Xenopus tropicalis: one gene and its partners. The protein of the gene in region 7 interacts with the protein of the main gene of each other region in a pairwise test. Links are inferred from orthologs where the notes say so. Each region holds a gene or a part of one and is shown on either strand. Other genes may lie near its edges.

Evidence for each region.
Region 1: the proteins of pde4dip (region 7) and snca interact in a two-hybrid assay, tested with the Homo sapiens proteins (2 studies listed by BioGRID and IntAct). The link is inferred for Xenopus tropicalis from reciprocal best matches to the Homo sapiens genes PDE4DIP and SNCA.
Region 2: the proteins of pde4dip (region 7) and immt interact in a two-hybrid assay, tested with the Homo sapiens proteins (2 studies listed by BioGRID and IntAct, with this or other methods). The link is inferred for Xenopus tropicalis from reciprocal best matches to the Homo sapiens genes PDE4DIP and IMMT.
Region 3: the proteins of pde4dip (region 7) and c1orf109 interact in binary tests that used the Homo sapiens proteins (3 or more experiments, as listed by UniProt). The two-hybrid records come from large-scale screens. The link is inferred for Xenopus tropicalis from reciprocal best matches to the Homo sapiens genes PDE4DIP and AIRIM.
Region 4: the proteins of pde4dip (region 7) and cdc5l interact in a two-hybrid assay, tested with the Homo sapiens proteins (2 studies listed by BioGRID and IntAct). The link is inferred for Xenopus tropicalis from reciprocal best matches to the Homo sapiens genes PDE4DIP and CDC5L.
Region 5: the proteins of pde4dip (region 7) and bysl interact in binary tests that used the Homo sapiens proteins (3 or more experiments, as listed by UniProt). The two-hybrid records come from large-scale screens. The link is inferred for Xenopus tropicalis from reciprocal best matches to the Homo sapiens genes PDE4DIP and BYSL.
Region 6: the proteins of pde4dip (region 7) and tnik interact in a two-hybrid assay, tested with the Homo sapiens proteins (2 studies listed by BioGRID and IntAct). The link is inferred for Xenopus tropicalis from reciprocal best matches to the Homo sapiens genes PDE4DIP and TNIK.

The regions. Positions count from the first base shown.
Region 1 is NC_030677.2:78,431,629-78,435,670, forward strand, and holds the start of snca (alpha-synuclein), read left to right. Parts: upstream 1-1,242; 5' UTR 1,243-1,526; intron 1,527-1,928; exon of another isoform or gene 1,929-2,034; intron 2,035-2,074; exon of another isoform or gene 2,075-2,159; intron 2,160-2,492; 5' UTR 2,493-2,517; coding exon 2,518-2,638; intron 2,639-4,042. UniProt on the Homo sapiens protein: Neuronal protein that plays several roles in synaptic activity such as regulation of synaptic vesicle trafficking and subsequent neurotransmitter release.
Region 2 is NC_030677.2:17,822,759-17,826,945, reverse strand, and holds the start of immt (MICOS complex subunit MIC60), read left to right. Parts: upstream 1-1,387; 5' UTR 1,388-1,515; coding exon 1,516-1,560; intron 1,561-4,187. UniProt on the Homo sapiens protein: Component of the MICOS complex, a large protein complex of the mitochondrial inner membrane that plays crucial roles in the maintenance of crista junctions, inner membrane architecture, and formation of contact sites to the outer membrane.
Region 3 is NC_030678.2:86,154,160-86,158,201, forward strand, and holds the start of c1orf109 (uncharacterized protein C1orf109 homolog), read left to right. Parts: upstream 1-1,242; 5' UTR 1,243-1,484; coding exon 1,485-1,660; intron 1,661-2,431; coding exon 2,432-2,704; intron 2,705-3,795; coding exon 3,796-3,975; coding exon of another isoform or gene 3,976-3,991; exon of another isoform or gene 3,992-4,022; intron 4,023-4,042. UniProt on the Homo sapiens protein: Part of the 55LCC heterohexameric ATPase complex which is chromatin-associated and promotes replisome proteostasis to maintain replication fork progression and genome stability.
Region 4 is NC_030681.2:148,158,413-148,161,912, reverse strand, and holds part of cdc5l (cell division cycle 5-like protein), read left to right. Parts: intron 1-1,079; coding exon 1,080-1,207; intron 1,208-1,464; coding exon 1,465-1,564; intron 1,565-2,276; coding exon 2,277-2,495; intron 2,496-2,868; coding exon 2,869-3,016; intron 3,017-3,500.
Region 5 is NC_030678.2:70,761,285-70,765,387, reverse strand, and holds the start of bysl (bystin), read left to right. Parts: upstream 1-1,303; 5' UTR 1,304-1,321; coding exon 1,322-1,580; intron 1,581-2,694; coding exon 2,695-2,857; intron 2,858-4,103. Other genes in the region: med20 (mediator of RNA polymerase II transcription subunit 20), read right to left, coding at 1,144-1,157. UniProt on the Homo sapiens protein: Required for processing of 20S pre-rRNA precursor and biogenesis of 40S ribosomal subunits. May be required for trophinin-dependent regulation of cell adhesion during implantation of human embryos.
Region 6 is NC_030681.2:111,604,333-111,607,832, reverse strand, and holds part of tnik (TRAF2 and NCK-interacting protein kinase), read right to left. Parts: intron 3,315-3,500; coding exon 3,228-3,314; intron 1,132-3,227; coding exon 940-1,131; intron 1-939. UniProt on the Homo sapiens protein: Serine/threonine kinase that acts as an essential activator of the Wnt signaling pathway. Recruited to promoters of Wnt target genes and required to activate their expression. May act by phosphorylating TCF4/TCF7L2.
Region 7 is NC_030680.2:118,185,742-118,189,241, forward strand, and holds part of pde4dip (myomegalin), read left to right. Parts: intron 1-409; coding exon 410-902; intron 903-1,283; coding exon 1,284-1,519; intron 1,520-1,843; coding exon 1,844-1,895; intron 1,896-2,229; coding exon 2,230-2,453; intron 2,454-2,708; coding exon 2,709-2,837; intron 2,838-3,131; coding exon 3,132-3,302; intron 3,303-3,500. UniProt on the Homo sapiens protein: Functions as an anchor sequestering components of the cAMP-dependent pathway to Golgi and/or centrosomes.

The DNA of each region.
Region 1 (4,042 bases), on a different chromosome or scaffold from region 7:
GAGTTCAATTAGTAGGGCTTGTGCTAGTTGTACTTTTTGCATATTGTTTTAAAAGACACCTCTCCTCCAACAGAAGAATCTTCAGAACAATTCTGTGAATTATTCCTCTGTCGTTGTAGCTTTCTTGAATAACAAAGGGGTTATGTACTGTACCACACACACAATACATTGTGTAAAGTGCAAAAAGGCATTAAGTGTCGCACTCTTGCACATGTAACCTGGGGATTAGAAAATGAGCACTTAAATTAGCTTGGAAGCCTTGCTGTGTTGGAAAAATAGATTGATTCTCTACTGGGTACCATTTGGTTGTAGTTTCCCAAGGGATTTATTTGTTTTCCTGGTTTCTTACTACTATATATATATATATATATATATATATATATATAATATGTAAATAAGGGATGATAATAATAGTACTCCTGTTTTTTAGGAATGAAACTGGTTGCTGATCTTATAGCATTTCATAGCAGTGCATGGATAATGGTCAGAATGAATTATTGTGGATAAGGTTGATAATAAGATGTTATCATTACCAGTAACCAGAATGGGTCTGCAAAATGTAATTATCTAAAGGTTCCACATTCTTTAGTTACAGTTATGAATTGGAGTATTTAGGGCATAATTACATTGTCCTTCCACTGACCAATTCCCTGGGTTGAAAGGAACCATCTACATAATATAGTAAATACTAGAATTCAGTTTTGGTAAGGCTTTGTAATATTTTAGCTGTTTAGTGTTATTCTTCTCTTCTTACTGTCATTAGTAATTGGAGAGAGCGCTTAAATGCTTGCCTGTTACATATCTGCTATCACCTTAGTGACTGCAAGCTTGTTGTAAGAAATATTTATTGTGGCAAGTGCAGATATTTAGCAATAAATAATTCAGCACAGCAGGCATACAGCAGCTGCTAGGGTAAGGTAGCAGATCATTTGCATGTCTGTAGTAGACGATATTACTCTTTTTTGTTGGTGGTGTTTTGTGGGCAGATTTGATTGTTGCTTTCCAGCACCTACATTACAAATGAAGGTGACGGGAACAATAATTTTCCGATGCAAGGCAGACCTCTTAATCTCAAATATTTCTGTTGATAATGGTTCTCATTGTTTGCTCGAGCAGCAGTCGGATTACAAGTGGTCCAGCTTGGGGAGGCTGGCTACGATTATTCAATTTTCACACTGACAAATCAGGCATGTGGAAAGGAAAGACGGGAGGAGGGAGGTGTGGAGGGTGTAGGGGAAGGGAAGAAAAATACGGAGGACATAGGTTGCTCCTACTGAGTAAAAGTATTAATCTCTTATTTTTTACCCCTTCTAAAATTCCTTCTGTTTATGAAGAGCTGATAGGTGTGGTTTCTCTGGTACCTGCTTTGAATGCTTTGATTCCATCAGGTTGTTACATATGCACATACCTCTCAGGGGATTTATTTGGCAGTTATGTACTGAAGAAGAGACTTGATTCCTTTTTTATTGTTTATACACGCACAGATATCATTCCTGTTGGACTAATTTTGGGGAGCAAAGGTTAATGTAAGTATTGCATTTACATCTATATAACATGCCATGTAGGATATTAAGTGTATTTATTCTGCTCACTATGAGCTTTTTTAAATGTTCTATCTGGCATTTTCACCCAGACCTAGTTTAAGCAGCTGACAGTTGCTCACGGGATAGCTTGTCACCTGTGTCCTTAATGCAACGGAGAATGATGCACATGGTTGTTTGTCTTATATAAGGAGAATAGGAAGTATGAAGGTTTCTGTGGGTTAAATGCTCAATTTTATCTTTAATCTTTTTGCCTGTGTGAAGTACGGTATATTGTGTCTGTTTCTCTCCCATTCCCTTTCTCTGACTCTCCCTCAACCACCCCCACACAAACTCTCTCACACATACACAGCACCACTCTTGCATACAAACACACTCAAATATTCATTCTTGCACACACACTCATACATATCTGTATAAAGAGAGACTCTCACAATCACAGACATACATACACTTTGATCTTCATCACCTATCAAACATCTTAAATAATTAGGTACATTTTAACAACAGGGATTATCTTTTTTCCTTAAGAATAAAGTTTTTGTTGGATTAAAAATAATTATTGTAAAGCTTTTTCATCCTGACAACAGCTATTGCATTATTATTTACAATATTTTGGTAAGTTACAGACCTTTGTAAAATACTACCATCATAGACCGACTCGTCCTGTTGAAATACTCTGTTGCATGTTGTAATGTAGTAAAGAAGTATTAGACAAATGGCGTTTCATGTTTCAGAAATCCATTTTTGGCAATATAATACATATATATAGCATATCTTGCTGATTGGACTGATTAAGGATAGACAAGGGTTGCACCGAGAGATTGTTTTTTAAATCCTATACTAATCAGTTACAGATATTTTATTTTGTAGATGCTGTTCAAATGTAATGAGTTACACTATAATCAAATGACCTGTCCTAATGTGTTTGTATGCATTTGTCTTTTGCAGAGCCACTAGAATAAATTTATTAGCTATGGATGTATTCATGAAAGGGCTTTCTAAAGCTAAAGAGGGTGTTGTGGCAGCTGCAGAAAAAACCAAACAGGGAGTGGCAGAAGCAGCAGGAAAGACAAAAGAGGGTGTTCTCTACGTAGGTAGGTAAAAAACTAATCAATATAATGTCATCTGTTCAATTACAATCCTTATCTCCATTTTTCATCACCCTGCAAAAAACACAATAGGATCTATCATTTGTCTTCCGTGTCCTTGGAATACAAATGCAAATACCCTTTAACATTTGTTTATTGTGTAGAAGTTTGTAGCAGTAGTTGTCCATGGCAGAATGGATCTGTAACCCCTGGAGATCACAGAGGATCTCCTTGGTGGTAAATCCCATACATGTCTGTTTTAGAAGCAATAGCCCACTGTACAGTTTTGTAAGCCACAAGACAGACCACTACAGAAACTGTAGGCTTGATAATAGATTGCCCAGTTCTAATCACATTGTAGCCTGTTACACATATTCTTTACATTATGATTTTACAAAGTGTTGTTTCTTTTGAAGGTATATTGCAAATCTAATTTACACAATACAAATAAATAATGACTAAATTTAAATGCTACTCTTTATAATGACAATTAAAAAATTAGGGAGAGGGATAGAAAGAACATAGTTCAATATATTCTACAGATCTGTAAAATAGAAGGGTGAACACATCAATATAGTTCTCCAAGTGCTCAGGCAAAGGAAAGAGGCATAGGAACCAGACCAGAAAGGTCAACTAGGGAAGATTATGGGACACACTGCCCCCTGAAACCTACAAAAGACCTGAGTTGTGGTCCAGTACACTACATTTTAATAATAACACAAAACTAAATGTCCTTAGTTCTCTTGTGTAAACCCTACATGTTCCTATTATGTATATAATTTGGGTACATCTCCCTCACTCAGACAGCATCATTTGTACTGCATATATCCCCAAAGTTCACCAGCACCATATTATTTTCCTAAAACAGATAGTAGCTTTCACCCACCCGCCATTATTAGTGATGTATTTGCAAACAGCAACTTTATGCTGTAAAATTCATGCAACTGAGACTGCAGGCTTACACAGGCAAAACTTACTTTGATAAACATTTTTGGTTGGTTTGAGCACTCTAATGTTTAATCTGAGCTCAGAAGACATGGCTAGGAGAAAAATAGAAGCAGACAGCTAGAGCAGAGCTTCTATGGGAACCAGCAATGCCATCTCCTAATTGTCTGCTAGACTGGAGAGTCTAGTAATCTGAGTTGAGAAGAACTGAGCATGCCCAGTAGCCAACAGTCAAAGCATATTCCTGAGGAAGGGGGCTGAGTGGGTTACAGAAGAAGAAGGAATCCTAAGTGATTAACGGGATGCTGCAGCCTTACTATTAACCTTTTAACAACAAGAGTGACATGTAGTTAAATATTTCAAAGAGGCTGCTTACTTATTACATGTTTGTGGGGGGTTCACGTGTCCTTTAAAATTAAAATATGTACATAGAATAAAGTTTGCACAGTGCACATATTTATAGTC
Region 2 (4,187 bases), on a different chromosome or scaffold from region 7:
CGGGTGGGGAGGGGACGACCGACAGGGGTGGCCTCGGGGCGCCCAAAACAGAAATCCGGCCCTGCCCGGTACAAGTTTCACTAAGCTGTTTACCTGCTACCCCCTACACCTCTTTCACTGCTGAGCTCTCTTTAGCTGTCTCCTTCTGATAACCTCCCTACCCAGAGTTATCCTGAACCTTTAGGCCAACATTTCCTTAACCCCAGTCTTCCTTACTGGTACAGGACAAAACCCTGATGGTGGTCAGTGTATCATCTATAATACTACCTGCAGGGTAATTAGCTTAACCATGTTAGTTTGCTACAACTCCCTGCATTCATTAATATCTAAAATACATTTTGCTTTCTATTAAAAGTATTGCTGAAAGGATATTGCCTTATACTTCTCACTGTAATGTATGCCTTATACATACACTGTAATGCTTGTGCAACAATGAGTGTCATGACATGCTGTGCTACTGTGTATGGGGGCACTGTGTATGGGGGGCACCTGTGTATGGGGGGGCAAAACTGGTACATAGTTATAACTCACATATAACTCACTGCCTTCTCTCTATATTTGTATTTATATGTAGGAGTTGCTATAATGTTTCCCTTAGGCAGTACAGTATGAGAGTATAGCACATTTGCGTCTGATCCCGCCATTTTAACTATATAAAAGGAGTATTTTTTTAATGGGGTGTGGTAATTGGGGCGTGGTCACAAAAGAGGGTGTGGTCAAAAAAATTGCCGCGCTGCGCGCACCAAATCTTTTTGTCCCTCTTTTCATTTTTCAAATGTTGGGAGGTATGCATGGGACATACAGAGTAACATATAAAGCAATCAATAACCGATACAAGAGGTGAAGAGGGCCCTGCCCAAAAGAGCTTACACTCTACAAGGAGACATACAGAGTAACATATAAAGCAATCAATAACCGGTACAAGAGGTGAAGAGAGCCCTGCCCAAAAGAGCTTACACTCTACACAAAGTTATTACAGAAACAGCTGTGACTTGTGAAACTATGCAAAGGATAGTTCTCTAGGTGTATCAGCTGCTTCTGCTACATTGCTGTGAGTCAGAACCCGCGGTGCACAGACTGTAACCAGGCAGGCACTGCTTTCAGCCATCACAGAGCTGCACAGAGAGTGTAAAGTTTATTTTAACCACATTTTATTGCGCAAAAGCCAGTTTCATGGTGAAAGTCCCCTTTATTAATACGTAGTGCGAAAAGTCATGTGGTACAAACTCTATAACACTGCGATAAACCACAACACACGATATCCCTGTTAGGAACTACAAGTACCAGCATGCCCCAGCCATGAGACCCGTATTGGATACGCAAATCCCTATCTTGTTCTCAGAAGTGTTATTAATAAAGCTGTTGAATTAAAAAAAAAATCAAGCTGTCATGCCATAGTGGGCGTACCCCGGCGAATGACGTAGGCGGAGCTAGAGGTGCTACACGGACCGCGCCTCCATTCATGCCGTACTGAGAGCGCTCCCGGAGCTTGCCCTCCCCATCACACCGGAGAACATGCTGCGGGTGTGCAGGAAGGCCCAGGCGGCGGTGCTCGCCAAGGTGAGTGGATAGCGCGAAAGAGTACACAGTGTTGCAGTGAGGGAGCTTCTAGTTGGGAGAATGGGCGGGGATGGATTCTGACAGGATATCGCCTAAAGGCCGGGAAACAGCAGTACTGAGCCTTACGAAGTAAGGGACCCCGGCTTCCAAGGCTGGGAGCCGTCAGCGGCGCCTAGGACTTCCTTTCACTCCAGCCAATTACAGGCAACCGCTTTAACAAGCTGCAGGCTGACCGGCCAATCAGATTCCAATGTCCTTGGCACTTTAGCCAATTACCCCTTGGTTAAATATATGACGCTGCTCGGGCGGGGCTAGCGTTAGATTGACGTCTGTTAGACCTATAACGTGGTTAGTTGTTTTGACGGACGTTCTGTGAAGCCAATGAGCGATGTATATTTTGGCAGGTAGAATGGAAAGCTATAGTGGCGAGGGACTGTGAGGCGGCATGGGGCTAGGTCACCGGGGCACACGGCCTGTATACGGCCTAAAGTTTATTTTAGCCTCAGTGGCTAATTGTACCCTCCTGCGAGAGCGCCCCTGTCTGCATAAACCCCACTTGTCTTTTGCCTGTAGGTGTGACCTTGCTTGGTGTCCCATCCCCAGGGCCTAGCTCCTATCTGGTGCCAGGGACAGTACAGAGAGTGGCAAAGAGCTTAGTTAAAGTTATTGGACCACAACTCCCAGCATCCCTTGACAGCCTTTTGCGACAGTTAAGGTTTGCTTTTTGATTGGGAGAAAATATCATCTTTTCATTCTTCCATATAAATTGTATAAAAGCGCTGCTTCACCTTCACCATTGTGTCTTTTTATTACTTATCTTTCTATGTAGGCCCTCTTCTATTCATATTCCCATCTACCTTTTAAACCACTGGCTGGTTGCTAGGTTAAATCGGACCCTAGCAACCATACAGCTGCTAAAATGTAAAATTGGGGAGCTGTTGAACACAAAGAAAAATATATCAAAACCTGCAAGTAATTAAAAATGAAGACCAATTGCAAACTGTTGCAGAATAGCACTCTCTGCATCATACTAAAAGTTCATTTCAATGTAAACTGCCCCTTTATATGTACATTGTGTTGTATGAAGCAGATCTAATGATGTATAGAGCGTTGGCACTCTGCCTTCTACTTTCTAATCTGTATCTGACCCCAGCCCAGGGTAGGAATCCTTATACAGGTGTACTAGGGACCTGGGGAAGGTATATTTCCATTATTTGGATCTCCATACTTAATAATTAAAAGCTGAAATAAACCCAGTAGGATTGTTTTGCCACTCACATGGATCTGTGCTGCTTAGTTACCATCTCATACAAGGTACTGTTCTAATATTTCAGAGAAATAGGAAATCGGAATTATTTGCTTATAATAAAGTCTGCAGAATATTAAAGATGAACTCTGGCTTCTGCGCCAAAATGTGTTACAGAGCCCCACACAGCACAGAAACCCCCCAAATCCCTATCACTGTAATCTGTTCCTTCAAAAAGTAGGAATAAATACCATTTTATATGCTGAAATCCAGCTGCAAAACAGTTCTTCTCTTTCTGCATCATTTGAAATCCTGGCAGGGGAGAAGGGACTAAAACATTGATGTTACAAATTGTAACAACTTCTCCACAGCTTACTGACAGCATGCAGGAACCCACAAATTCTCCGACATGGGGGCAATATCAACAGGAGCCAGTTAACTTTCCCCTATATTGCTGGAGGATGCACAGCAATGGCACAGAGGAACGTTACTCAGATGCCAAGCACACAGTGCCCAATCTGCACGTAATGCTCAGCAATGTGGGGCAGGAATGCTACTTAACGTGCCACCCTGCTCCCATTGATAGCCGTGCCCTTGGATGTTGATATGAATAGGTCACTATGCTATCTTTTTTTACCCACAATGCAGTTTTTATCCCCCCCCCCCAGCAAAATGGCAGGTACCCTCTAAGGCTTATGGCACAAGGGGAGATTTTCTGCCCATGGCTAAATCTGGGCTGCCGCGGGCAAGGAAATAAGCACTGTATATGCTTTCCCACTGTCAACTTACTTTACTGCTGGTTGCAAAGCATTTTGGGGAGATTTGTCACCCACAGTAACCCAGATTTAACCAAGGGTGACAAATCTCCCCTCAGGCCCAAAATGGCAGTCTATGGATTGCTGTAAGGTGCCACAGACAGTCACTATTTATTGGGCTGCTGGGGGGCTGTTTGTGCCTCTGGGTACTGGGAATGCCAGGGGGGCTGTAAGGTGCCACAGACAGTCACTATTTATTGGGCTGGGGGGGCTGTTTGTGCCTCTGGGTACTGGGAATGCCAGGGGGGCTGTAAGGTGCCACAGACAGTCACTATTTATTGGGCTGGGGGGGCTGTTTGTGCCTCTGGGTACTGGGAATGCCAGGGGGGCTGTAAGGTGCCACAGACAGTCACTATTTATTGGGCTGCTGGGGGGCTGTTTGTGCCTCTGGGTACTGGGAATGCCAGGGGGGCTGTAAGGTGCCACAGACAGTCACTATTTATTGGGCTGGGGGGCTGTTTGTGCCTCTGGGTACTGGGAATGCCAGAGGGGCTGCTGTAAGATGCCACAGACAGTCACTATTTATTGGGCTGGGGGGGCTGTTTGGGCCTCTGTGTACTGGGAAT
Region 3 (4,042 bases), on a different chromosome or scaffold from region 7:
TTCCTGCCCCTATCATCCTCCTCATTCATGCTGGCACTATAATCTTTTCACAAACACACACCGAGAAGAACCAAAATGTTAAGCAATCTACCTTCTCTATAAACCGGAAACCACCGAACGTTACCTCCGATCCGGAAATAATTCCCTCTTATTTAAATATTTTTGGGATTTGTAGTTTCTAGCGATTTATCATAAAATATCCTTTATAGCAGCGCCGACAAATCAAAATTTACGTTAGCTACTCTCATGCACAATTATGGTATTAAACCAACTTAAACTGCAATTGTTACCAAGGAAAATAAGGAATAAACAATTGTCGCGCCAGTCACCTCGATAGCAATAACAAGACTTTAAACTACAATTCCCTTCATGCCGTGCGGCTGTAGGTTTCCATTTCCGGCTTTAAAAAAAAAGGTGAATGTATTCACGTTGCAGTTGTGCTAATGATAGCGGGCAAGCTAAGCAGCTTTTCCAGGTCTGGTGAAATACGTGCGTTTGAATTGGGAAGTTGACGCTGTTTTTATTTTACCTTTTCTGTTCTATATGACATTATATATGACATTGTTTGTAATGCTGTTTAAGGACACGAATCAATGTAATACGGATAGCCTTACTTTTTTCTTAGTAAATAATTGAAAGCAATACTGAAATATATCACCTTTTATATACATTTGAGCCGATGATTCGCCCTTATAAAAATAATCTTAGATTTATTAATGTTATTCTGGTAGTGTTATGTAGAACATCTTCCACTGTGGTAACTGCTAATATAGGGGTGGATATACTTATTTTTTCCTGTAATCACTGTTCCAAGCATGCAACAATGCCTCTGTTCCTTACAACTCCTGGCAGTAACTACTGCTAGGTCTAGGTCCAACTTTTCCAGCAAACAAATACCAGCTGTACCATATCTATAGATTTTTTTTTACCAACTATGTATAAAAAATAAAAGAAAAAATGCAGCACAGGTAGCCATAGGTTGTTTAACCTTTAAAGCAGGGGTCGGGAACCTTTTTGGCTGAGGGAGCCATAAACACCACATATTTTAAAATGTAATTCCCTATAATATGTTTGGCCGCGGGGCAAGGTTGGGTGGGTCCCAAGGATGCCGGTTGCTGGATGCAATGCGGAGGAGGGCGTGGCCTGTGCTCGGCGTATAGAACATGTCTTCTATCTGCCGAGCGCAGGCCACACCCCCTGTTATTTTTTTTTTTATTAAAGATTTGGCAGCGAGCCAGATGCAGCCATCAAAAGAGCCACATCTGGCTCCCGAGCCATAGGTTCCCTACCCCTGCTTTAAAATAAAACAAAAAAAACTGATACCCATAACACTGGAAGTACTAGAAAGCCACTCCCATAATAGGTAGAACTAATTAAGCAGTTTTTTTTGTTAAAGTTAACAATACTTTATGGCTTAGATTTTATCGGGTGCCACATATTACTGATCATTGCCAACATAAAGCGATTTTAAAACAATATAAATTATGCATGTGTGCCAAAATCTTCGAGTCAGAGCAAATCTGATAACAAATGTTTGCCTAATTGCTGCTATTATAGATTTGCAAGCAATTTTAGCATTGGTGTCCACTCCCTCTGAAGTCATTTGGCCCTTGGGTTGTCATGATATGACACATCAAAACGCACGGATAAATGCCAGCGGGTATGTACCCATAATCTGGCCTATTGTTTTTAAAATAAAGGGGACATATTGTGTGAAAAACCATATTGTGCCAATGATTTGTACTCATCTAAATATAAAAGAAATGTGCTTTAAAAAGTAGTGTTTGGGGCTGATTTATTGATTTTATTTATCTGTTCCACTTCTGGCTACCTCCTTTCCCAGGTTGTTCAGGGGAGGCCAGCGGCACTCAGCACACTATATAGGAACCAATCAGCAGCTAGACTGACCTGATAGGGAACTGAAGCCTGTCTTTGCCTGTGTGACTGCAGGGCTGTGATTGGCTCTCCCCCTTTTACTGTGCTTCTGGCAGGGACTATTAGAACATGCCCACCTCTCATCTGAAACACGGACAGGGACCTGAGAGGATCTATAGGGAATTCCAAAAAGGGACAGTTCTTACAGATAGTTTTAATTTTTATACCAAAGTAAAACCAGCCCCATATATTATTCATAATTGTCTACAAGATTAAAGTTTATGTAATTTATGTCTCCTTTAAGAAATGTTTGCTGCAACTTAGTTTAAACATATGCCTACTTCTCTAAGACATTTCAGCATACATTTTACTATACTGAGTTAAATATTACTAGGCTAATGTGAGTATATCTTTTTCAAGGGTTTAAATACTTAGAAAGGTGTTGTGTGTTTTTGCATTCATAACGCTGTATAACTGATTTGTTGGCTTGAGTTTTATTTTAAGTGCAAAGCATCAGATTTATGACATGTATTTCACCAGTTTTATCGTTTTATAGGATGTCTGAGAAACCAGCCTTTGTTTCCGTGCAGCAATCGCTGAGAAAGTCCTTTGATGCCATAGAACCACTGCATGAAGAATGGAATAATACACTTTTAGAGTGTAACCCACACCTAACTTCTTTAAGTAATCTAGCAGAACAGCTACAGGCCTGCCAGAGAGTACTGTTTAAGAAAACCCCCCTGAGCAGCTTTATTAACCTGCAAGAACATCTTCGTTTTAAACTACAAGCAGCTATGGAGTTTAATTTGGAGATCTTAAATCAGAAGTTGTAAGTCCAATGTGTTGTTGGTTCAACCCTTCCGGTGCTGGTATCACCATGCAAATTTTTAGATAAGATACAAGCATCACTTTACATGTACATCAGTTCTGAAAACACTGAATTACTTGCTTGTCATACTTAATGTAGATATCTTTCCATTGACTGACACAGCTTCAGTGTGTATTGTGCTACACTGAGCGGATATCAGCACGAATAGGCATACTTGAGTGTTTCTGCGCCAATATCCGCTATGTGTAGCTCCACACAGGCAGACACTGCCTGTTAATGGTTCTACAGGAAGGAGCGCATGACAGTGGATCCACTTTCCTCTGCCTGGGTAAAAACTGCAGGTGAAAGAAAGAGTATCCGCTCCATGTTCCCTTACCTTAAATCTACTCTGCTGAGTAGATATAGCAGTTGTTAGTTCTAAAGTGATACACTGCTAAAAGAATGGATTTTGGACAATACATTCTCATAGGATGCACATTTTTTTGTACTCGGCAGGTTTTGCCTTTATAAATATTCTTATATTTTTAGCAGCAATTTTCTTCTTCCTCAATAAGAAGAGATATGAAATGGCGTTGATACTCACACTTGCATACAAGTTACAGGTTAATTTATTTTGTATGGAAGGTTTATATCCCCACAATATAACCTCAAGCTGGTTGGTTGTATTTCAGTGTGAAGTACATGATTGTCAGTTGTGTAATCACTACCTTTTGGTTCCCACAAAATCTAACCAAATCAGTAATAGGTTTAATATTTTCCTACAATAAATTATTACATTGTGACTACTAATTGCACAGTACTAGTTTTAATCACTTTATACCTTTTACTCTCAGCAGGATATTGCAAAATAATCACATACCCACAGCAAGTTAAAACATGAAAGCCAAAGGTCTAGGTTTTTGGATGTGTGTAATCTGTACAGACTTGTTTATGGCCTAATACAAAATGCTATTTACATTGTTGGGCATTATCACAGGCAGTAAATATTGTAGGTTGCCAAACTGGGCATCAGATTTTCACTTGAAAAAAAGTATTTCCTGAATACAAGGATTATCTACATTTTGTAACTCTTCAATTGCTAAATTTTACAGGTCTACGCTGCAGAGAATAAGGGACTCTGTAAGTCAGGTGGTTGGATCTGTCCTCTACATGTATGAGACAAGCATTGAAAAAATTGGTCTTGAAGCAATTTTGGAGCGTTCTTCTCTCTGTCCTTCCATAGCTGACATGTTAGAATGGCTACAAGATATAGAGAAACATTACAGAAACCAGTATCCTTTAAAGTAGAACTACTAACAAGTCCTGCCTTGAGACACAAGTAGGAATCCCTGTTCCCAT
Region 4 (3,500 bases), on a different chromosome or scaffold from region 7:
TAACATAATAGCCAGAACACTACTTCCTGCTTTCAGCTCTCTAACCTCTTAGTGAGTGACTAGAGGTGGGGCCACATGGGACACAACTGTTCAGTTATGTCCCATATGGCCCCACCTCTAGTCACTGATTGGTTACTGACTGCTAACAGCTTAGAGAGCTGTAAAGGGGAAAGTAGAGTTACATTTTTGTCTAACTATATTGAAAACATTTTTATTTTATGCAGTATGTCTACTTTACCCAGTTTCATTTTTACATTGAATTGTTCCTTTAAGATCCAGTTGACTGGTGACGAAGCCAAATAAGTGCAATATTACTTGCTTAGGCCTCACTGCTGGTAGGCCACATAGTTTGGCCTGTGGACCAATGATAAGCTCACACAGGGAGCTGTTGCAGACCACTTGGGGGAGGACAGTGTTCATGGCACAATAAAAGTTTTCAGACAGTCTGAGTTATATCTAGCCAAGGCCCAGTTATTGGTCATGGAAGCCATTTTTTGGTCCCATCTATAAGCTGCAGACTCAAGCAGGAGTGACTCTTTAGAAGTCCTGGGGGTGGGGGTTGACAAAAGATTACAATATATTCTAGGTTACTCTAACATTTGCCCATGTCCTTAAAGGAGAACTAAAGAAATAAAATAGAAATGTTGTACATTATGTTTAGGGCTCCTGTATCAGCCCAAGGCACCCACAGCCCTTTAGCAGGGAAGATCTGTGCCCCCAAAGATGCCCCAGTTAGCTTAGGTACCCACTCACACTATACTTTGTGTATATGTGTGTATATATATATATATTCTGCTTAATATTTCCTGACAGCCTCTAAGCTTAGTTTATCAACAGCTGCCCAGAGTCCGTTGAGCATGTGCGCGTCTCAGACTCTTTTGATAAAATCCAACATGGGGAGCCCCTGTGACAACTGTAAAGACCTGGATCATTGCTGCTATAGAGATGCTGAACCCTTAGGCTGGTGCAATAAGTTCATTATTCAAAATAGGGCATTTCTAGCCATATTAATTTGTAGGGTTTAGTAGTTCTTTAAGGTTGAATAAAACTAACTGTGAATATGGGTCTTATTTATCTAGAGATAAAGCTGCGCAACGTGACAATGAGGAGGAGTCCGCAGACGATCCTCGCAAGCTTAAGCCAGGAGAAATTGATCCAAATCCTGAAACAAAGCCAGCAAGGCCAGATCCAGTGGACATGGATGAAGGTAACCTTCTTTCACAGTTAGGGTTTTTGGAGGCCAGTGAATAAGATGCTGTTGGGGGAGGGGGTGGTATGATTGCTGCTATACTTATCAGTACATGAAGACATTTGTTGTCAAGCTTGGATGGAAAGAAGATGCATCTGCTTGTTTTGCAGTAGGGTAGGATTTATGGATTTGGGATATGAAATGAAATAGGGGGCTCTTGATTAACAAGAGCTGGTCTGCCCCTTTGAATTAACAGTGATACATCTTTATTTCAGATGAGCTTGAGATGCTCTCGGAGGCTAGAGCTCGTCTTGCCAACACTCAAGGCAAAAAAGCCAAGAGGAAAGCACGAGAAAAGCAGCTGGAAGAAGCCAGGTACCGTGTTTCTCTGCACACCCTAATTATCTCTTACGCTTCTAGCATTGTGTCTGCATGAATGGAGATTATTCATGTGGCATCATAAGCACTTCAAATTACTTTGAAATAATAAATCTTTTTTTTTTCTTTTTAAAATAACTATACAGCCCCCAAAATAAAACACCTTTTTCCCTGCATGCTGATTAATTTTATTTCTCTATTACAAGCTGCTGAACAGCAGTTCTTTTAGTTACTTCCTTGTCTTGTGTAAAACTCTGCCTCCTTTTGCTTCCCTTCTCTCTGACTACGATGACCTCAAAAAGGGTGCCTACTTGGCATGCTCGCTGCCTCTGCTCCAATTAAATTTAAACAGGAATGCGCAGTATGGAGCAGAGGCAGTGAGCATGCCCTGTAGGGCATCTGATAGAGAAGGAGGGCTCAGAAAGCAAAAGGGGGTGGAGCTTCATGCTAGACAAGGAAATAACTAAAACTGCTATTCAGCTGCTGAAGAGAAAAATAAATCTGCGTGCAGGGAGAAAGGTTTGCTATTCTGGGGGATATTTAGAGTAATTTTAGCGGATGTTAAAATAAAAGGTTTACTTATAATTAAGTGGTTAGTACCTGTACTCAGCACCCGTATCTTGTCAATATCATGGAATGGATATATTTGGGTACACTGTGTATACAGGTTGGAAATCTTGTATTCAGCCCCTTTCTACCCTTTTTCCAGACGTCTTGCAGCCCTACAGAAGAGGAGAGAGCTTCGAGCTGCCGGAATCGAAATTCAGAAGAAGAGGAAAAAGAAGCGCGGCGTGGACTACAACGCCGAAATCCCATTTGAAAAGAAGCCTGCCCCCGGGTTCTATAATACATCTGAAGAAAACTATGATGCCTTGAATGCCGACTTCAGAAAACTCCGCCAGCAAGACCTGGATGGCGACCTCAGATCGTATGTTTTGCTGTCTGCTAATATGTATTTCTGAATATATCAGGGAACTGCCTTATTGCTTCATTCCAACAGTTGCGCAATATCCCCCCATAAAAGGCATAACGTTTGCCCAGAAGCAGTAACGCATTGCGATCAATAAGATCTTTGCTTTTAAACTGGTGACCAGTATATTCTACCTGCTGATTGGTTGCTATGGGTTACTGCTTCTTGGCAAACTTTGTGCCTTTTATTACATAACCCCATAGGTAGTAGAAGTTATATTGTAAGGCTACAAAAATGTAATGCTAAGCTAGAGATATCAATCGGTTTTGGGTAATACTGACATGTCATTGAAAGGGGAATTCAACCTGTTATTCCTTTCTTGATCAATCAGAGAAAAGGAAGCAAGAGACCGGAAGAAAGACAAACAGAACATTAAAAGGAAGAAGGAATCTGATTTGCCATCAGCCATTCTTCAGACAACTGGGGGAGTCTCGGAACTTACTAAGAAGAGAAGCAAATTAGTTCTGCCTTCCCCTCAGGTTTGTACAGGATGGCAAAGCATAGTGCCAAGTAGGCGTGTCATATGGAATACCGCAGCCCAATCAAATAGGGGCATTCATTGAAAATGAGCTGCATATTGTAGATAGTGGTAACTGGTGTTGGGAGGGACTTTAAGTTCCTGAATCCATCACAGAGAAAAGTAAGGTTGGAAAATGGTTTCTGCTTGGCACAGGTAATGCTGAAAAAAAGTTGTTTAATTTACAGTGGAGGAAATAATTATTTGACCCCTCACTGATTTTGTAAGTTTGTCCAATGACAAAGAAATGAAAAGTCTCAGAACAGTATCATTTCAATGGTAGGTTTATTTTAACAGTGGCAGATAGCACATCAAAAGGAAAATCGAAAAAATAACTTTAAATAAAAGATAGCAACTGATTTGCATTTCATTGAGTGAAATAAGTTTTTGAACCACTACCAACCATTAAGAGTTCTGGCTCCCACAGAGTGGTTAGACACTTCTAC
Region 5 (4,103 bases), on a different chromosome or scaffold from region 7:
TTTTGAATGGCTGCCCCCATGTCTACACAGCAGGGTTTATATAAACTCTAGTAATGTTTCTGAAGCAAACACACAACTTTTACCAGTGCAGGGCAGCAGTACATTATAGTTTAATTTCTTTAAAATATATACATTTTTGGTGTTACTGTTCCTTTAAGATGACTCTAAAGAGGGCAAAGAAGTTAAGAAAAACAAAATCTCTCTTCATATTACCAGTGCAGCTAAGCAAACACTGGCATGTATATTGTAAGATGTATCCAGTATGGCAGCATCATGGGCACTCAAAGGTTTAGCGTCACCAGAAAAGATTTTCAAAGCAGCAATTTGGAGGTGTCCTAATATTTTTGTGAAGCATTAAAAAATGTTTCTGCTTCTGCAGATTTTGAATAAAAAAGTAAAGTATTTTGCAGCATTTGGTATGTGTATGTTCCCTCCCAATTGTGCGGACTGCCATGAGAATGTGAACAGGAAAAGAGAAAATCTATATCCAATTTACTGTGATTTTCTTTTCCTGGAGCATTCCAATGCATTGTGGGTTATGTACAATGGTGGCATTTGGAGGATGCAGGCTGAAGGCAATCATACAGCAATAGGAAGTATGGTTGCTGCCTAGGCAAAAAAAGAAATCATGGCTATTGTTAATGTTATTTATAAGAAAGGAAGATAAACATAAGACAGATATATTTTGGTATAGTATATCAGTCTTCCTATATTCATAACTTTATACCCTATTAATAACATTGGCATCCAGCACATTTTTTTTTTTACCAGCAACGCTATTGGGGGTTCAAAATTATCATTAAAAAATTCTATTATTCCTTAACAAAGGCAAAAAAAAATCCTGAAAATAAGAGGCAGAATACATTTTCAACAGGTTATATTTACAGTGTTGATTTTTAAAAAAGGATATCTTTTAACTGTCTCCCTATTACCCATAGCATTCTTAGTGTGATACTGCACTGCAGTGTTGAATTCGTAGGATTCCGTTTTTCTATAATTAACAAAGCAGCAGTCATGCAAATAAGTAAGCGTAAACTTAGTTTACAAAAGATAAAAACAATCCAGAAGTTAACACGTATCTGCAAACATCAAAATGACGTTTCTTCTTTTTCTACTACTACATTAAAAATGACAAACACTTACCAAGTCACTCCCATGCTGGTACTTAATTGTACAAAACACAGCGACGTGTTATGACGTCACGGCGCTCAAAATTGTTGTCATTATTTGCGGTTCACGCAAGTCCCACATCGAGGCGTACGATGCCAGGGGAATAGGAGCATGCGCAGTGTGTGGATCTATGCACGTGTATGTCAGGAAAATGCCAAAGCACAAAAATTCTCGGGGAGCTGCTTCTCGCTTACTCCCCTTAGCTGATCAGATCGAACAGGAGGGAGAAATTAGACCCTCGTTCCGTAATAAGCGCAAGGGGAAACCTACAGACGACGCCGAAGATGATGGATACGTGGACGAGAAATTGTCCCGAAGGATTCTGGAGCAGGCCCGTATTCAGCAGGAGGAATTGGAGGCCGAATATAGTCTGGGGAATGTGACCCCTAAAGAGAGGACAACTGTTTTAGGTAAAAAAGGGTAAAGAAACATTTCCAAGGCAGAATACAAAACAAAAGTTTTTAAACCGGTATATAAAATCAGTGGGGAGTCTTTAGACTGAGTCATAACCAACAACTAGTGCTGTAGTTGTAAATACATAGAAACGAGTATGGGACAGTCTTAATAATCCATTAATGTAATCCATTTAGGGCCAGATTATATTGAAATTTTGCCATGCAAAAAAAGTCTACTGGGGGCCAAAGAAATGCTCAAATGCTCATTAGCTGGTTCAAATTGAACATTCCAGGTATATAATATGATACAGTCATACACATATAAGAATATTTGAAAAGTTGTACATAAATAATTTGCTAACTTCATTCTGTGATAAAATGAAGGATATCTAATGTGCTGTTTTATATGCTGATGCATCTCCATGCAAACACATGTGCAGTATGAAGCAAGGAGGGAAAGGAAGGGAGAATACCTTTTTAGAGATGGCTGCCTGTTCTAGAATATGTGAAGTAAGTGTGACTGAGTAAATATTTGATTAGGTGAGCCAAAAGTGTGGCATTTTTACTAAACAATAGGAGGACTATTGGGCAGTATGCTTTTTAAATTTTGACTTGCATTCTCCTTTAATGATTATACTCCACATAGCATATATACTTTAGTGTATATGTTATAAAAGACCGGAATCATGTGTGCAAAAATGGATTGTACACTGCACCTTCATCTTAATTTTTAAGATTTGATTTTATCAAAAATGTTTTTAGGACCCTTTTTAAATTAAAGGTACCATACAGGCAGTGCTGCTTTCTAGTTCTATTTAGCCATGACAAGGTACAGTATGCTCAGTTATACTAGCTGTAATTAGAACAAAAAGTGTGTAATATAGCCTAACATGCACTAAATGTATTCAGACTGTGACCCTTAACTCGCATTACAAATATTTCATGTTCTCTTGGGCCTACCCTGGGAATTGTTTGGAACCGGTGCTCCACAGAAACAGACCTTGTAGCATTCACTAAGTACAGTCTGAATTAACTTATTTACAAATTAGAGGTCATTATTTCTTCATATTTATCTTTGCTTGTATATTGGCAAATCAATCATTATCTTTTGTAAATCCTTGCCCTTCAGATTCCAAGAACAGAGCAGAGGGTTCAGACTCTGAAGATGATGAGTGGCCTTCATTGGAGAAGGCAGCCAGTCTGGAGAAAGGTACCCTCAACGAGGAGGTACAAATTAACCCTGAAGATGAAAAGGCAATGGAAATGTTTATGAATAAGAACCCTCCACTAAGGTAAAGTAGCAACTATCTGGAGACGCCAAGGGTTACATGGGTCAAATAAAGCCGGGCCAGAACTTGGGGTAGTCAGAAGGGAGCAACGATGTGGGGGTGTGACAGTTACCTCTTCTGCCTACCCCCTAGTACACACACTATTGCCCCAGCTGCTTTTCTCGCATCCTACCCGGGATGTCAGTGCACTTTCTCATGTACACACATGAGAGGTGGGGTGCAGGGTGGCCAATTGGGTTGCCTAGGGTGCCCGGTCGGCTTGGCCAGCCCCTGAATAAAATAATCATTAATAGAAATACTTTATAGCAAAGATTACGGAACTTTATCCATACACTATCATTTGTGAAATTTAACAGGTCTGGATATGTACATTTTAGTCAAAAGATGATTTTGAATAAAAACAAATTAGTGATGAGTGATTCATAACATTTTCAACCCTAACCTGCTGTTTTCCAACCCAGCTTCTACTATAACTTTTATGTGGTTCTTCTCCGATGACTCTTATATGGGTGGGACCAGTCACCACAGGAGATGGGTTAGAATTAATACATCACCTGGTTGCAGTTTTACCTGCCACCCTCTTAAACCCGCTTCTAGGGCTTGGTTCTCGTGGGTTTTGAGTCATCCCATTTATCCCTAGTGTGAATGAATGCTTAGTTTACCTATAGTTGCAACCAGTAGAGCAAAATGAAACTGAATTGCTGTCTCTGCTAATTTCTTTAGTATATGGCTTTACATAATGACAAACCCCTCCATTGTTTCTAATCCCTCTATCCCTCCTAAAAGGGGTGTAACCATGTATATTCACAGCCCAGTCACTTGTTTCATCTCACTAGGTCTCAGTGATACAAATTATATCCTAATTGTCAGTACATTCAATAGACTCCAGCTCTTCTAATTTCCCTGACAAGCTCTGTGCATTTGCCAGCATGCCGTGGAGGTTACTATTTTTCCCTCTAATATTTACATTACAGAACTAAGAGTTAGATCTGAGGTTACTATTAGGGGTTTTCCATGTAACAGAGGAATCTCCTTAGCTGGTAAAATGTATGTATCCTTGCTTATCCCACTGCCAGATCTACACTAGCTTTCCCATAACCCCCCCCCCCCTGCCTTTTTTAAACACTCCTCCAGCCTCTTAGCCATTTTTTTTCCCCAGCACAATGGACCCCCATTCCATTAAGGAGCAATCGGTCATGGCTGTATAGATTGTACCCCAAAGAAAAGTCAGCCCAGTGTTCTAGGAACC
Region 6 (3,500 bases), on a different chromosome or scaffold from region 7:
GAGGAGATAATTTAAAATAATAAATACAGAGGACTCCTATTCAGAACACTTATAATGAGAGGGTTTATTCACTTGTGACTGCATCACAATTTTTCTAAAATGTAAAATATTTTGGCATTTATAAAAAAAAAAAAATTGTCCTTTCATCTCTTCAACTCCTGATTAAGAAATAATATTCCACAGAGACTATCTTATTTTTCCTTCAAATAAAACGTATTCAAGGGTTTTGGAAGGAGTAATTCCTCATAACCTTGCTAGGATCTGCCTTCTTCATTGACCTCTGCTATATATACCCAAGCAGGGACTTGAAGCATTTACTCCCCCAAGTATACATTTAAAAATCAAGTGGACCCTATGGCATACTACAGATGCAAAGATCCAAGGATGGTTAGGTATAAGGAACTCATTGAGCTACCATCAGTCAACCCTAACGCCAACATCAAAAAGCTAAAAGCAAAACTTCTGATATATGAACACAATGACCCTCCCCCCACAAGGCTTTGTTTAGGTTAAATACTTTCCTTACCTTTCGGATGCTACTAGAAATAATCTAAAATATTTAATTCACATTCATCAGCTTTAAAATGTTCATTTGTATTCTTCATGGCCATTAAATCAAATACAGCAAGTTGTAATTGATGTCCAACGAGAATTTAATCTTACAGAGGTACCCAGCGCTCCCCAGTGGACAGAGGGAGTATTTTCAGCACTTTAATACTAACCAGTATCTGCAGTACATGATGTCAGCCTACATTCTAGGTTTGGAGCTGTGTAAGTTACAGTCACACTGAATCCTACCCAGCCTGTTATTAAAGAATAAACATTGATGAAACATTCAAAAATTATTAATACTTGAAATACACCCAATCGGTCAAGCAATTATGTTACTATTTCATGCTGAGTTCTGTTAGCCCAGTTGGGGCACAATGGCTGCCATACCTCTTTTGCCCATGCTGGTTTCTCTGCAGGGTTTAGCCCTTCTTTGTAATGATAGAGTGGTTTCTTCTCAGATGACCTCTGTTGCTGCTGTTGTTGTTGCTGGAGAGAAACTAGGTAATCTCGCTCTTGCTGAAGCTGTCTCTGAAGTCGCTCTGCTTGTCTCTGTTCTTCCAACTGCTTACGCTTATACTCCTTTAAGGAAAGGTAGGTAAAAATCAGTCACAAGGCAGATGTTGACTCTTTGGCCCATTTCTAATTGTTGCAACCAACCCACCAGAGACTTTTCTGAATAGGTTTGTTTTTCTCCACAAAATAGAATGCCAAGATGTTTGACCTTATTATAGGATGTCAAGTGAAAATAAAAAGAAAGTATTTAAAAGGTAGGAATCTGAACTTTGTGGAGAAAATGCAAAAACAGTGGCAAGTTAGCCTGGAAAGCAAACTACACTCAGACTTGCTCCAACATAAACAAAAAAGTGGCCTCTCCAATAAAGCATAAGAAATTCTTTAAGGGTGTTATCTTAAAAGGTGAAGTTAAAACGTTTTCAATTCACGACTTGGTTTTTAATAAAGGCTTATTTAAAACCAGCTACATTATTTCCATTGTAAGTAAAACTGGGATGTTATGTGGGTTTAAATAAACAGGAAAAAAGAACATTTTGTTTCACAAATCGTTTTAATGACGTAACAGGATGGTAACAGTCTTTGATATCAAAGAAGGTGATTTCAGCTGGATACGTATAATAAGTTTGTCCCACTGACTTCCCATCTATGATAATTGCTGTTGTTGGCAGAGGAATGGTGTGCCTACGGCATATGAACAACCCGCCAAGTCATACGCGGCTATGCAAGAACCACTGAAGCATCCTTAGTCCTTTTGCTCAATGCTAATTCTGCAAAGCCTAAAGCGAGCACAGCTCTCCTAGGGAGCACAACAGCCATAATTCTGCTTCATGAGAACAAAGGTGTGGGTTTGTGAGGCACAACAGCAACTGACAGCTTTGCTGAACAAAAGGCTACACAGCATTCCATTACCTTGCAGGCCAAGGCTTTACAAGCCATAATTACATGCAATGGCAATGCGCAAGGAATAAACTTATTTCTAGACATGATTCATTTGCCTTTAGTTGCAAATCTGTTAGCCTGGCCCTACTTTATTAAAGTGATTTTTATGGCATAGTTTTTTCACTAAATTACACTGTTTACATTGCAAATAATTCATTTTCACTTTTAAGAAATGTCATTATTGAACCAATAATGTATTTTTAGTAGTAATATGTAGGCAGACATCTAGGGTCATTGTGCCTGAGCCTGCACTAAACAATAAAACTGCTTTCAGATAAGCTATGGTTTGTAATATTCAAAATTATTTCCCAACTTGGCTTCCTATTTCTCCTGCTTGGATACTATTCTCATAACTACCACTACGTAGCGCATGGGAGCATTTTTAGCAATGCAAATAATTTCTGACTTCATTTTGATATATACGGCATTGAAACCTGCTTTCTCCAAGCTTCAGATAACCTGCTTTTTGAAGGGTGAAGGGGTCTGTGCTGTGAGGAACCAATCCTTCTCACTATATTTAATATATTTGGTTTGTATATTTGTATATAGTTTGTTTGTGTTATCACTATATATAATAGGAGCATGGAGGAGCAATCACCAAACAAAAAGACAACATGCAGAAGACAATCCCATTTCTGCATATTATATATATATATTATGCTTGTTTGGATCATTGACAACCAAAAAGCGGACTAATCTCGAGTTTAGATTTGAGTTGTTACGAATATATTTTATTGTTCTATTCATCTGTCATTATCGGGTGACCTGACCATTTAAGGAAATATATTAAGCAAATGTTGCAGTAGTACAAATGTTAGCAGAAAGTGAAAATGCCTGAATTTATAATTCATTAAATGGCCACTATACTCTGGAAGAATAGTGATTAGTACAGGGGCATTTAGATCACCGTGACTCTCCCTGAAAGGATTATGGCACTCTGGCATGCTATCACATTTATAGGAAAAAAAAAAGACACAAATGTATTGTAAAAATCTAATGCGAAAAAAACCCTTTAGTTCCAAATCATGAAAACCTATTTTAATATGAAGAAGATCCTCTCTGTATTATTTTTAATGAAACATATTGGTACAAAGTATTTTAATGAGTGCAACAACATGCAAGGCACTTGTTCTGAAAGATGAGAACTTTGGACATATGACCAAGAAGTAGTAGGTAATGCAACACACAATGGCAGGAATGAACTGGGGAATGACTCCCATTACCAGAAGTAGAGCTTGCTCCTGCAGTAACTGCTGTTGCAATATCTCTAACTGCCTCTGCTCCTCCTCTAATTGTCGCCTTATGTATTCCTGGGTTGTGCAGCAGTGAAAGAGAAAGAAACGAGGAGAAAGAAGTGATTGAGCAAAAGAATTGTTAGTACCTTAGACACCAATTACCAAGAAAGAAACATAGCGGGTATTCAGAGCAGAGAGTACACCAGTTAGAGAGATAAATTCATGTTAAACCATACATTTATACAATGCTGCCCAGTGTTT
Region 7 (3,500 bases):
TGTTTGAGATAGAAGTAAACAGAAACCTTCTTGTTCCAAACAAAATTATAATGGTAGTTATTGCACAATTCTTTGTGTCATTATTTTCATACATTTTTCCACCCACAGGAGGTTTATTTTACTGCATTTCTGTATTGTGTTTATAGCACAATAATGTCAGGAACTAAACTTCTACATTTAGCCTAAATCTTAAGCCAGCATAATGGTCATGTCTACTTATGGGCTTGCAGGCCAACTTTATAGCAAATACTTGCTTAAGAAAAAGCAGGCTGCTTGGGTATCAGTGGACATACATCCAACCTTTGATAATCCCATGCCACACAATTCAGGAGTTAGGAAATACTTTATAAAAATAAAATCTACACATCATTCTAATGTTGTAACCTTCTAATTGGTCTCTTGCCTGCAGAATATGAAGAGCATGAAGAATTGTTTAGTGAGAACAGCCTTATGGAAGAGCCGAGTTCTCCGTATAAAGGCTGGTCACCCTTAGTAACTAGCTCACCTTTGAAAAACAATGAATGTGGGCAGAATGACTGGACATTAGACTGGGAGAAATCAGAGGATGTCACAGTCCTTCAGCAACATGTCAAGAACCTTAAAGTACAATTACAGAAGGCACAGAAGGTGATAAGTAACCTACAAAGCCGAGCACGCTCATTCTCTGCTTCTAGTGACTATGCTAACCACCATCGCTTGAAGCACAGCGTCTCTTTTCATGGCTCCACATCACACAGCATTACAGATGAAGATGAAGGCTGGCAGTCAGATACAGTTGGTGTTAACTCTACCAAAGACTTAGAGCAGCTTGTCCAAAGGGTGTCTATGCTAGAAGCTCAGCTCCATCAGTCACATAGAGATGTTGGTGCTCAGGATCAGATTAAATCTGCAACATGGCCTGGGTAAGTTATCATTCCACAACAATAAATGTGATTAAAAAATGGGTACTTTTTGTACTGCACTTTGTTTTATATTCACTTTATCAGACTGCTGGAACATTAAAGTACCTGATTGAAATTTTTATTGTGATGCGTTCTAGGTGGATCATTAGCACAAACAAAATATCTAAGACTAGGGTGTAACAACAGGGGAAGCTGGCATTGGAGGTTGGGGGCGGGGGAGGACTTGTACGGTGACCAGCGGGCCCCAACTGCCGTGCTTTTTTTTTTTTTTATGAAGCAAAAGTCAGGGGCCTAAAATCACTAATGTCTGCAATAATGATATTTTGCATGTTTTTTTTTTTTTTAAATCCCAATTAGTTACACATATGTCCATCCTTACAGGAAATACGACTCCCTAATTCAAGCTCAGGCTAGAGAGCTGTCACTTCTAAGGCAGAAACTGCGAGAAGGCCGAAGTGTCTGCCATATACTCACTCAACATCTAGGGGACACCATTAAATCCTTTGAGGAGCTTCTTCGTGCCAACGATATAGACTATTACATGGGCCAGGGCTTTCGTGAACAGTTGACTCAAGGGACCCAGCTAGCAGAGAGACTGAACAATAAACTCAACAGCAGTAAGCCTTTTTTTATACTTAGAAGAATAAGTGCCAGTAATGGATTCATTAGTACACATTGCCCATGAATATTTGTTAAATTTTTCAACTTGATTCATGCACATTTGTAGTTTAAATTGTTAAACTATATGTTGTACTGTATAAGTCATTACTTCGAGTTTGGACCCTATCAGCTTTGTCATATTTGCCCATAGCACTGGATTTGCCAATTTGATTTTTAATAAGAGATCACTTCCCGGTGTATGTTTCATTGGAAGTAGATTCCCTACGATGATTACATTTTAGCTGCTGAAAATTAATATTTTCTTTTTCCCCTTTTTTCAGAAGAACGTTCAGATGTCGATGATAAATCCAGACATGAGCTGTTGGCCATCAGGTAATTGTCACAACTGACTGTATATTGTACTCTGGGGCCCCCTTCAATAATGTCACACAGCGTGGCCACGAGTCACACACACACACCGGGCCATGCATGGACTTATTAATCAGATGGTTCAGTCACTCTCACCTTGTACAATCAAATGTCCTACCCTTGGTAGTCATTGTTACTTTTTTGGCACACCCTTTGCATTTCTTTCCATATGGAATATGTGCTCCATGCTTCCTTTCCCTGTATGCTCTCTGTCCTGAAAATCTATTTAACCATTCAAATTCAGCAATTTAGTGCATATTCACATTCCTTACATGACTTACACTTTGGTTTTTGACAGGCTTAGCAAAGAGCTTCAACAAAAGGACAAAATCATAGAGTCTCTTCAGTCCAAGCTCGAAGGCCATTCCCTTACTCCATCCAGCAGCCATGCTATCTCTGAGTCAGATCAATCTGACAGGACCTCTTTTGTGTCCGATGACCAGCTTTCCAACAATGATGATTTAGATGGCTGCTCAGAGGTGGCCACAGCCAGCGACTATACCAGAAGCACCCACGTCGCAGGTAATATCCTGTATAGATTTAGATGGCACAGTTCAGGGAAGATGCTAGGTCTGTAAGGAACTGTACTGAAGATACAGTCTTTATATGCATAAATACAAACACACACACATAGTATATATATATACAGTATGTGTGTGTGTGCAGAGTATACATTAAACCTACAAACTAACTTAAAGACAATAAGTATTTTGTGGATTGTTTGGGACACTTGAACTCCATCATGGTCATCTTTCATTTGCCATCTGCTTTCCATAGATGCCATTCATATCGATAACGTGGCTTCTCACCCCGCAAAACCATCACTTTCCACTTCTCATGAAGTTCAGCAACAGCCCAAGCTCCATGTAAAATCAGCGCAGCCTCACTCTGCAGAAACTCTGCAAGGTACGGGGATCAATTGTGTATTACTATATCATACCCGGGTGTGTCATTTTCCTCTCGCAAAGGGAATAGTGCAGATTCCTCTCTGACTGGAACATGCTACTTTATGTTGTGGCAGATATGAGGAGCAGTGTCTGAAACCATTATCTGAACACATTTTAAAAAGTTTTGGGATGTGAGAGAAATTTTTTACACATGCCTGCCAACATTGATTCATATGTATCCAAATATCATTTTGTTTTAGTTTCTTCTTTCAATGTCAACATTGTCCGGCCTTGCCCTTTCTTTCACTTCCAGGACATTTTATCCCTCCACCTAGCTCAGTTAATGTGCTGAGTGCTGCCCTTCCACCCAGTGCACCTTTTCCACCCTTTGGTGCTCATCCTCCCATGGTCAGTGGCCCACCAGTCTTCTCTCTGGCAGAAGTACAGCAAGAACTCCACATACTGCAAAAGCAGCTGGCAGAAAGTGAGAGCCATATTCTACCATGTTTTTGTCACTTGGCTTTTGCATGGCTAGAAGATCACTAAGTCTCAACACATCTCACACAGGTTTCCCAAATATTTCTTGTTGAGTGTGTACCAAGTCCAAGACTCTTCCCAGAATTCCTGTGCACTTGCATATAGGCAGATATTAGCACCAGATAGTAAACTGCCATATATGGGC